Macaca mulatta: one gene and its partner. The protein of the gene in region 1 purifies or fractionates together with the protein of each later gene. This does not show direct contact. Links are inferred from orthologs where the notes say so. Each region holds a gene or a part of one and is shown on either strand. Other genes may lie near its edges.

The links. Proteins that work in one complex are often made in the same cells at the same time.
Region 2: the proteins of HNRNPDL (region 1) and HNRNPH1 fractionate together in Homo sapiens (co-fractionation; 3 studies listed by BioGRID and IntAct, with this or other methods). This does not show direct contact. The link is inferred for Macaca mulatta from reciprocal best matches to the Homo sapiens genes HNRNPDL and HNRNPH1.

The regions. Positions count from the first base shown.
Region 1 is NC_133410.1:51,379,964-51,385,092, forward strand, and holds the start of HNRNPDL (heterogeneous nuclear ribonucleoprotein D-like), read left to right. Parts: upstream 1-1,737; 5' UTR 1,738-2,262; coding exon 2,263-2,705; intron 2,706-3,502; coding exon 3,503-3,671; intron 3,672-3,769; coding exon 3,770-3,931; intron 3,932-4,403; coding exon 4,404-4,535; intron 4,536-4,702; coding exon 4,703-4,817; intron 4,818-5,129. Other genes in the region: ENOPH1 (enolase-phosphatase E1), read right to left, coding at 1,040-1,123. UniProt on the Homo sapiens protein: Acts as a transcriptional regulator. Promotes transcription repression. Promotes transcription activation in differentiated myotubes. Binds to double- and single-stranded DNA sequences. Binds to the transcription suppressor CATR sequence of the COX5B promoter.
Region 2 is NC_133411.1:188,581,764-188,587,019, reverse strand, and holds the start of HNRNPH1 (heterogeneous nuclear ribonucleoprotein H), read left to right. Parts: upstream 1-1,867; 5' UTR 1,868-2,269; intron 2,270-2,913; exon of another isoform or gene 2,914-3,309; intron 3,310-3,426; 5' UTR 3,427-3,457; coding exon 3,458-3,554; intron 3,555-5,168; coding exon 5,169-5,256. UniProt on the Homo sapiens protein: This protein is a component of the heterogeneous nuclear ribonucleoprotein (hnRNP) complexes which provide the substrate for the processing events that pre-mRNAs undergo before becoming functional, translatable mRNAs in the cytoplasm.

The DNA.
Region 1 (5,129 bases):
TTCTCCTGCCTCAGCCTCCCGAGTAGCTGGGACTACAGGCGTCCACCACCACGCCCGGCTAATTTTTTGTATTTTTAGTAGAGACTGAGTTTCACCGTGTTAGCCAGGATGGTCTCGATCTCCTGACCTCGTGATCCGCTCGCCTCAGTCTTCCAAAGTGCTGGGATTACCGGTGTGAGCCACCGCACCCGGCCTGCAATGAATTCTTAAACCTCAGGGAGCCAAATAAAAAGACAAGGCCTGAGGAATTCTTTCAAAAATTAAAGTAACATTTCATATTTACTTATTCTAACAGACAAAGAATAAAGAAGGAATCCGCTAAGTTGTAAGCTGAGGTGCAGACAAGTGCTGGTTCACAATGACATCCTAGAAGGAACGCTCTGGATAAGAGCTTCAAGCTTCTACGGTTTTCTGAGGAAAGTGAACGGAATCTAAACGTGTCCTATCGCTCAAAAAAAATCAGCGCTGTGGACCACAGAGCCTAACAGAGTAAAGTAATACAGCGTGCAGTTTGGCCACTAACAGCAAGAGTGGGAAGGGGCAAAGAGGAACCTTGATTGCCCGACACCAGGGCCACCTGAAGACTCCTCTTGACACTTCAGTCTTTCCATTTTGAGATTAGAAGCTTCAAGGACCATTAAATCGCTGCCGCTGCCACACCAGGCCCGACGGAGCAGAAAGGCTGCGCTCACCGGCGGAAGCGACCGGGTGCACACCTGCCGGGTAGGGAGGCCCACACGGTCACACCCCGCCCCGGCTTACCTGCCCTTCGGCGATTTTTAGCTTCAACTTCCATCCCTTCCCACCCATCTGGATCCAACCAAGCCCAAGGGCGGGGGAGGGAGAAGCTAGTGCCGCGAGGAAAAGCATCCCCGCCACCCGCCGCAGGCTTTCTCTCCTCCCTCCCCATTCCACAGAAGAGGCAAAGCCACAGCGCCTCTCCTAACCCTCGTCTCTAATGCAAGGCCTGCAATACTTAGAAAAAAATAATAACTGTTTTTAAGGAGAAGTAACATCCCCGCTCCCTTCCGCCCCTCACCTTCACGAAAGCAATCGGGGTTGTGGTACCTTCGATATCTAACAGGATCACGGTGACTTCGGCGGGGACCGAAAGCACGACCATTTCCCTTCCGGATGCTACGGGACTCGGCCTGCAGTCGGGGAGGGTGGAGGGCGGCGCCGGCTGCGGCTGCTGCCCCCGGTACCGTCCTGGGCTTCCGACGGCCCCGCGCGATCTTGGAGTCAGCGACCAAGTGCAGCCCGCCGCGCGTAGGGAAGAGAACACCTCTGCACACCTGGCACTGGAAAAGGCGGCCGCCCAGGAGCCCCTGAACTCGTGAGCAGGACGGGGCAGGAGCCCGAGACCACGTGGGCAGGAAAAGGGGCGGGCCGTGCTGGGTTCGGCGGGGCGGGGTGCGAAAGCCCAGCGCCAATTGGTCGCCGTCGGGCCTCGAACGCGATCCGTCAAAATGGGCCTCGCGTGGGCGGGAACAAAGAAGCGAACGCGGGAGCAGGATGCGCGAGAGCGCGCCCTCCGCAGACAGGTTGAGCGAGCGGGAGAGGCCCGGGGCACGTGCAGAAGGGAGCCCCGCGAGTGGCGCGCCGGGGATGTGAGTGCCCCTTGCCCTCTACTGCATCCAGCCCCCTCCCCGCCCACCGCCTCCGTCCTTGCATAGATACAGTCATCTGGCCAGCCTCCGCCCCTCCTCCCGGCCTCAGCCTGCCAGAGAGGCCGCGCGGGGCTCGGGCTTCGGCCGATCAGCCAGGAGGCCTCGCTGCGCCCCCTCGGCCCGCGCGCCCGTGGCCACAGCGGAAGAGACGCCCGCGCTGCGCTGTCCGGAGGGGCCGTCGCGCGCCCGCTTCCTGTTCGGCTGGTTCCTGCCAGCTCGAGGACAAAACACGCGTGCGCGCGGCGGGCGAGCGCGCTCGCCGCCTCAGTCGCCAGCGCCGGGCGCAGTCCGCCTTTTTCCGGAGTAGCCCGGCCGCGGTGCTAGTCGGTAGCAGCGGCCGCCGCAGCGGCTCCGCACTGGCGAACCGAGGGCAGAAAAAGGCGGGGTTCACGGCTCTTTGGTAGGAGTGGGCTGGACCGGACGCCAGAGACAAAGGCTCCCAAGGCAAGAGGGACTGTGGCCTTGCGTCGGCTCTGTTCGGGACTGCTGACCCCAGGACTTTACGCCCCTTCGTTTTTCTCTTCTGATTCTTCTCTTCTCCCAAGCCCGCGTCCCCTCACGCGTGGCCTCTCTCCTTGCCGGGAGGGCCGCGATGGAGGTCCCGCCCCGGCTTTCCCATGTGCCGCCGCCATTGTTCCCCTCCGCTCCCGCTACTTTAGCCTCCCGCAGCCTCTCCCATTGGCGGCCGCGGGCGCCGCGGCAGCTAGCCCCGCTCCTCCCTTCACTCGCTCCCAGCTCCGCCCGGCAGGGGGCGCGCCGGGCCCAGCGCCACGTCACCGCCCAGCAGCCCTCCCGATTGGCGGGCGGGGCGACTATAAAGGGAGGGCGCAGGCGGCGCCCGGATCTCTTCCGCCGCCATTTTAAATCCAGCTCCATACAACGCTCCGCCGCCGCTGCTGCCGCGACCCGGACTGCGCGCCAGCACCCCCCTGCCAACAGCTCCGCCACTATGGAGGATATGAACGAGTACAGCAACATAGAAGAATTCGCAGAGGGATCCAAGATAAACGCGAGCAAGAATCAGCAGGATGACGGGTACCGCACGCTTCTTCCCCCGCTCCCCCTCCCCCAGCGCGCCGCACGCGCCCTTCGTCCCTCGTGAGCCGCGCGCTGCCCCCATTCTTTCTCAGAGTCGATTCCCCGCGTGCCCTCTGGGCCCCACTAGCTTGGAGGGAAGAGGAAAGTAAGAGATCGAGGGGGTGACTGGAGAGACCCGGGAAGAGTGGGGGAAGGGCGGAGGGGTTGGAGGAGGAGGGCGGCGGCGTCTCTGTCCCGAGCGCGCAGGCGCCGCGTGGGACCCGGGGGGGAGGGGCCGGCCTCCCAGCGCCGCTCGCTGCAGCTGCCGACGCCTCTTCATTGTGTGTCTGTTACCACTCGGCGCGGTTTTCCTGGGAAGAGTTTTAGAGGACTCTGAGTTCGGGCACAAGCAGGCGACTGGTACCCAGATTCACAAAACGTATTATGATTGATGAGTTCTCTGGGTGGAACGTTGGCTTGACAGCTGAGGACGAGGATGGACCTAAGATAAGATGTGAGGGATTCATCTAGGAAGTTGGGCCTTGTAGCTGAAGCAATCTGGGCAGAACCTTTACTATATTTTATTGGTCTCCTTTGAGTTTTGCTTTATGTAGTGCGGAGAGCGAGCTGTCCGCTGGTTTGAGTAACTTTGTTGGGATATTGGGATTTTTGTGTGAAATAGATTAAATGTAAACATGGATTAAATTGCTTACACTTAGGGGATAAATGTTCCTGTTTTTATTCTACGATTTAATTCCAGAACTGAAGGACCATTTGAGTTACTGTTAATTTTTTAAAAAACCTTTTATTTCTAGTAAAATGTTTATTGGAGGCTTGAGCTGGGATACAAGCAAAAAAGATCTGACAGAGTATTTGTCTCGATTTGGGGAAGTTGTAGACTGCACAATTAAAACAGATCCAGTCACTGGGAGATCAAGAGGATTTGGATTTGTGCTTTTCAAAGATGCTGCTAGTGTTGATAAGGTAGGAACTGTGTTTTGCATTGTGCTGCTTTTGTAGTGTTTTGCACATTTTTCTGGGGGTTATATGCTGCTGTCAGATTAAATAAATCTGTCTTGTAGGTTTTGGAACTGAAAGAACACAAACTGGATGGCAAATTGATAGATCCCAAAAGGGCCAAAGCTTTAAAAGGGAAAGAACCCCCCAAAAAGGTTTTTGTGGGTGGATTGAGCCCGGATACTTCTGAAGAACAAATTAAAGAATATTTTGGAGCCTTTGGAGAGGTGTGTGATTATGTTTACACATGTTAAGCTTGATGTGTTTATAAAATGTTTAATCCTGGTCCGATTTATACAGGGCAGATTCATGTTTCGTGTGAGGGTAGGATTAAATGACTGCTCAAGTCGCTTCCAGGGACTGTACCTTGATTTGATTGCTGCTCTGATGGAAACCCAACTATCTTAATTTAGCCAAAACATGGGCACTTAAATGTGGTCGGTGTTTGGACTTGTTAGTTAGTGGCATCTTTGGGGTACAAAATAATATTAAAGGATGTTTTACTTTTCTCTCAATGCTTCAAATATACAACAAATCACTGAAGGCTGATGTTGATCATAAAGCAGTGATGTCTGTATAGAAGTCACCTGATAAGAATAACATGTTTAAGTTGAAGCCTGAAAAGTACCTGTGGCATTCTGACACTCTGGTAGCATTTTACAATTATGGGATGACCTTGAGTGTGCATCTCGATTTCAGATTGAAAATATTGAACTTCCCATGGATACAAAAACAAATGAGAGAAGAGGATTTTGTTTTATCACATACACCGATGAAGAGCCAGTAAAAAAATTGTTAGAAAGCAGATACCATCAAATTGGTTCTGGGAAGGTAAAGCCATTTAAGTACTTTAAATGAAAATTTTAAGGATTTCTTTTTTCTTTATTTTTTTATCTTTTAGTTTTTGAAATTTCTCAATGTGTTTGAGAAAAATAAAATGATTAAATTTTAGAACTTGAGTAAAAATTCTATTTTCGTGTTTTTTAATTTGTTTATAGTGTGAAATCAAAGTTGCACAACCCAAAGAGGTATATAGGCAGCAACAGCAACAACAAAAAGGTGGAAGAGGTGCTGCGGCTGGTGGCCGAGGTGGTACGAGGGGTCGTGGCCGAGGTGAGACTTAATTCTTGGAATATGACTCCATGGTTTAAGCTGTATACTGCTAAATATGAGTAGTCCTGTACGAAACTAAAACTTAAAACAATTCCAGCGGGAGGAAAATGTTCAGCTTAGTGGGGGTTGTGTGTGGTGGTTTTTGTTGTGAGCTCACTGGTTTCAAAAAACTGTTAAAAGTATGGCCACTTTGACAATTAGTGTCATCACTGACAGGAAAAGTGTACCATTACATGATGCGCCATGGCGTGATAGGTTTTCTTGGGCAGGAGTCCTTGTTTTAAACAGAACAGTATACCTGTCTTCAGCTTT
Region 2 (5,256 bases), on another chromosome or scaffold:
CGCCGCCACCACACCCGGCTACGTTTTGTATTTTTAGTAGAAAGGGGGTTTCACCATGTTGGTCAGGCTGGTCTCGAACTCCTGACCTCGTGATCCACCGGCCTTGGCCTCCCAAAGTGGTGGGATTACAGGCATGAGCCACCTCGCCTGGGCTGATGATGAACTTTTTATTTTAAAAAACCTTTGGCTGAGCGTGGTGGCTCATGCATGTAATCTCAGTACTTTGGGAGGCCGAGGCAGGCAGGTCACTTAAGGTCAGGAGTTCCAGACCAGCCTGGCCAACGTGGCAAAACCCCATCTCAACTAAAAATTAAAAAAAAGTAGGTGTGGTGGCACACACCTGTAATCCCTTTAGACTTGGGAAGCTGAGGCACGAGAATTCCTTGAACCTGGAAGGCAGAGGGTGCAGCGAGCCGAGATTGCACCACTGTACTCCAGCCTGGGTGACAGAGTGAGACTGTCTCAAAAACAAAAGCAAACAAAAAAACCTTCTTTCATTGCCAGACATGGTGGCTCATACCTGTAATCCCAGCACTTTCTCTGGGCAGCTGAGGTGGGATGACTCCTTGAGTCCAGGAATTCAAGACCAGCTTGGGCAACAAAATGAGACCCCATTGCTACAAAAAGAAAAATAAAAAAGTTATCTGAGCAAGGTGGCACATGCCTGTGGTCCTACCTACTCAGGAGGTTGAGGCAGGAGGATTGTTTGAGCCCAGGAGGTAGAGGCTGTAGTGAGCCATGTTTGCACCACTGCACTCCAGCCTGGGTGACAGTGAGGCCGTTTCTCAAAAATAAATAAATAATAAATAAAAAATAAATATTTAAAAACCTTGTTTTAATATAAGTTGGACAATTTATATATAAGAGCATTGGCTATAAATGTATGAAATTTATTCTACCTCACTATTATTCTTTTTTTTTTTGAGATGGAGTTTCGCTCTTGTTGCCCAGGCTGGAGTGCAATGGCATGATCTCAGCTGACTGCAACCGCTGCCTACTGGGTTTAAGCAATTCTCCTGCCTCAGTCTCTCCAAGTGGTTGGGATTACATGTATATGCCACCATGTCTGGCTAATATTTTTTTTTTTTTTGAGAGGGAGTCTTTCTCTGTTGCCCAGGCTGGAGGACAGTGGTGTGATCTCAGCTCACTGCTTCCTCTGCCTCCTGGGTTCAGGTGATTCTCCTGCTTCAGCCTCCAGAGTAGCTGGGATTACAGGCGTGCGCCACCATGCCCAGCTAATTTTTGTATCTTTAGTAGAGATGGTGTTTCACCATGTTGGCCAAGTTGGTCTCAAACTCCTGACCTCAAGTGACCTGCCTGCCTCGGCCTCCCAAAGTGCTGGTATTAGAGGCGTGAACCACCGCACCTGGCCAGAGTCTCTCTTCTTGATTACCTCAGCCAAAGTGTTTTCTGAAATGGTACCACAGATATGTGCTTCCAGTTCCGTTTGTAGTAGAGGGCATGGCATGTACCGTCATTCACCCTGCCTGCTCCATCTGCATCCCCCTCACATCCAGCAAGTTTTCCTTTGCATAGGGCTTATTGCTCCCCTGCTGATCACCTGCCAAAGCCTTCTCTCGGAGTTAACATCCTTGCCAAGGCCTAAGTGGCTTTTGAAGATCAGGCCCTGCTTAGCTCTGGGCTCCCGTCTTTCTTTTGATGTCCTCTCTACTTTTCTCAAACCTGTCAAAACTGGATTCGGACTCTGTGGCCCTGGGGTTGGAAACATGCTTCGTCTGCATCTTCCCAGGGTGGCACTTAGGCCTGCACTAGCTAAGGTAGCCCTGCGGCAAGGTCCAACCCTGCCTTATTGTTAATTTGTTTATTGTCTGTGTCCACTAGAGCTGGGGTGAGGAGGGCAGCCAGCTCAGACCTGGGGAGGCCTGGGAGGCTACGGCATCTTCGGTGTTGGGCAGTGCTGTTAGAAACCACGAACATTACTCATCTGGCAGCATGTGTGCACATGGGGTGAGCCGGGGGTCTCCTCGAATGCGGCGTCTACGCCCGGGGATTGGACGCACTGTTACCGATTCTGTCCTGGGAGATTCAGCGGTAACCTACCGGGCAGAGGCCGGCACGCACCCGTGGAGAAGCCCGCGCTCGCGATTCCTCCTCGTGCCAGGGCCCCAGGGCACGGAAGGCCCACCGACCGTGAGGCGGGTCAAGGGGTACACAGGGTGCGAGTTCGTTAGGCAAAAGCTGGGTACAGGCGCGAGCCACAGGCACGGGAACCTCGCGCCGACCGGGGCCCTAGGCCCGACGACCGCAGGTAAGGGGAAGTGGAGGCACACATGGCTGGGACGTGCCCCAGGCACCATCCGGGTGGCTTCGGGCGCGGGACGTCCGCAGCCCCGCAGCTCCCAGGACGCTCGACCATCTGCGGCTGATCAGCTTCGGCCGGTTTGGGGATAAAGGGGAGACAGGCGGCGCGGGGAGTGGGAACGCCTGAAGGCCGCGCCTCTCCTTTCAGGTCGGCCAGGAGCGCACCGGTAAGAGCCAGGGGGTAAGGGGTAGAAAGACGCCCACCTCTTCAACCCAGAGCTCGGGACTCCTATACAGTCCCATAGGGAACAGGCGGCCGCCATTCCCCTCCCCCACGCTGGCGGGTAAGGCTAGAGAACGGTTTCAAGGAAGACGCATGCGCATGAAACAATTATAAACCGCTAAGACTCCCAAGTTCAATATTCGCGGGAAGGCGCATGCGCAATAAAAAGCCCGGCGGGTTTATGGGTGGGGGTGCTGCGCCCAAATCCCAAGCGTGTAATAATCCGCCGGCGGACGGTGGGCTGGCTCTTGAAACTACGCATGCGCCAGAGCTCTTTGTGACGCAACGGGGCGGTGCGGGCAGCTGGCTGCGCGTGCGCAGAACTCGCACAAAGGGCCTTATTTAGGTTGCGCAGGCGCCCGCTGGCCATTTCGTCTTAGCCACGCAGAAGTCGGGTTTCTGGGTGAGTCTCGGTGGGTCCTCGCTTGCAGTTCACCGACCACCGTGGGCGCCGTTTTTGCGAGGATTGGTTGTCCTCATACCTCTGGGAGGGCCACGGGGACCTTGGCGAGCTGCGGGCTGCCATCGAGAGCCGCGAGTGGTTCGCTGAATGTCGGCACCGCAGCTGAGGCCTGCAGGCCGCGCCGACTCTATTGTGTGAGAAGTCGGAGGAGGCGGAGCGGAAGCGGCCGCCGCCATTTCCTTTCCTCCACGCTGGCTCGGCCCGGGCCCCCACGGTTCGGGGCGCCGACGGTTGCTGCTCAGAACAGCTTTTGGGGGTCCGGCCGCCGGACGAGGAGGTGTTGGGTATTGGAGCCGCCGGGGTGGGTGCATCCCCCCGGTTTTTGCTTGGTGGGGGGGCCGGTGCGGGCCCGGGGGCGCCTCGGAGGCGGAGGACAGCTTAATTGGCGCTCTCAGGTCTGGTCCTCCCCGCCTTGCAGTTTGTTTCGACGCCGGACCGCGTAAGAGACGATGATGTTGGGCACCGAAGGCGGAGAGGGATTCGTGGTGAAGGTCCGGGGCTTGCCGTGGTCTTGCTCGGCCGATGAAGTGCAGAGGTTTTTTTCTGGTGAGTTAGAACTAGGACGCGGGAGTTCGAGTTCGAGGCCGGGGCGGGCGGGCTGGCGGGCAGCCGGGCTGGGGCGGGGCGGGGCGGCGGGACCCGGGGCGCCCCCTGGCGAGGCGCGGGCGACTGCACTCACCGCCGTGTGGCTCGCGCCCGGCCGGCCGCGGTTACGCAATGGAATTTTCGAAAGCCCCGCCCGTCCTCCTGGCCCTGCGGGGGGAGTGCGGCAGATCTGGCAGACCCTTTGATTTCTTTACTACCTTTGAACACCAACTTTTCTTTTATGGATGTCGTTTTTCTTTTTCCTTTGTGTTGGGAGTCTCTGTCACCCAGGCTGGAGTGCAGTGGCGCGATCTCGGCTCACTGCAGCCCCCGCCTCCTGGGTTCAAGCGAGTCTCCTGCCTCAGTCTCCCGAGGAGCTGGGACTAGAGGCGCGCACCACCACGCCCGGCTAATTTTTGTTTTTTTAGTAGAGACGGGGTTTCACCATTTTGGCCAGGCTGGTCTCGAACCTCTGGACCTCAAGTGATCAGCCCATCTCGGTTTCCCAAAATGCTGGGATTACAGGCGTGAGCCACCGCGCCTGGCTCCGGTGTCTTTTTGCGAAAAGATGAATTGGCATAGGTGGGTTTCCTCCTCAATCTCGAGAAAATTGCCGAGTAATTAGACCAATAATAGTAATGTTTTTCAGTATCTTGAAGTGTAATCTCTTGTTTCCAGTTCTGGTGTTTCCTTGAAAAGGAGCATTCTTCGGAAAGTTAAAATGTCACGTCTTAATTTCAGTTTTCCTAATCAAGATTTGGTAATTGAAGAGTGTGTGCTCATCTAGTTCTTAATTTGGCTGACTATACAATTGAAAACACTGAAACCCAGGGAAGTGTTTTTGCAGTCCCTAGGTTTCCTGAATATTTTCTATCAGAATGTCCTTGTTCCCATTATTAGACTGGGAAAAATTAGACTGATAAAATTCTACTTGTATGAAATTGACAGCTTTTGGCAAGACGTTTGTAGTGTTGACTTACTATCTGAATTTAGCATTGGTAACGGAAAACGACCTGTAAAACAAGAACCAAGTACACTGGAAGCCACCTTGCAGGGGGCAACGCTGGGTTTGGCTTCAGCTGTGCAACTTGGAGCATTTTAGCTTGGTAACACTGATCCCCTTTCAGGTGAGTATTGGGCCTGTAATTTGGATTTGAATGAGAAACCGTAATGTGGCTGCTGGTAAGGTAAAACTTGACAAACGCGCCAGACCAGACCAAAGCAACTCGCAACGAAGTAGGTTTGCCATAAAGTCACAAAGTCCAGGCTTGATAATGTTCTGAGAAATTGATAAAAGATGTGTGATGTGGACATAAGTAGCAGGGACTTAAGAGAGAAATTCATTCTGAAACTGCTTTGAATATTGTATGTTGTTGATGGGTTGGAAATACATCACCTTGGGAATGAGGTTTTTTTTTTTTTATTGGAGTTCCAGGAGTTGGTAATACCATCATTATATGCAGGCTTCACAAGTTACGTAATTTGTAGTGGGGACACGGAATAGACATTTAATCTGTGTCACCCAGAGGTGGTTTTAGGTTTTAAATTCCGTATTAACGGTTGTTTTCTTTCCAGACTGCAAAATTCAAAATGGGGCTCAAGGTATTCGTTTCATCTACACCAGAGAAGGCAGACCAAGTGGCGAGGCTTTTGTTGAACTTGA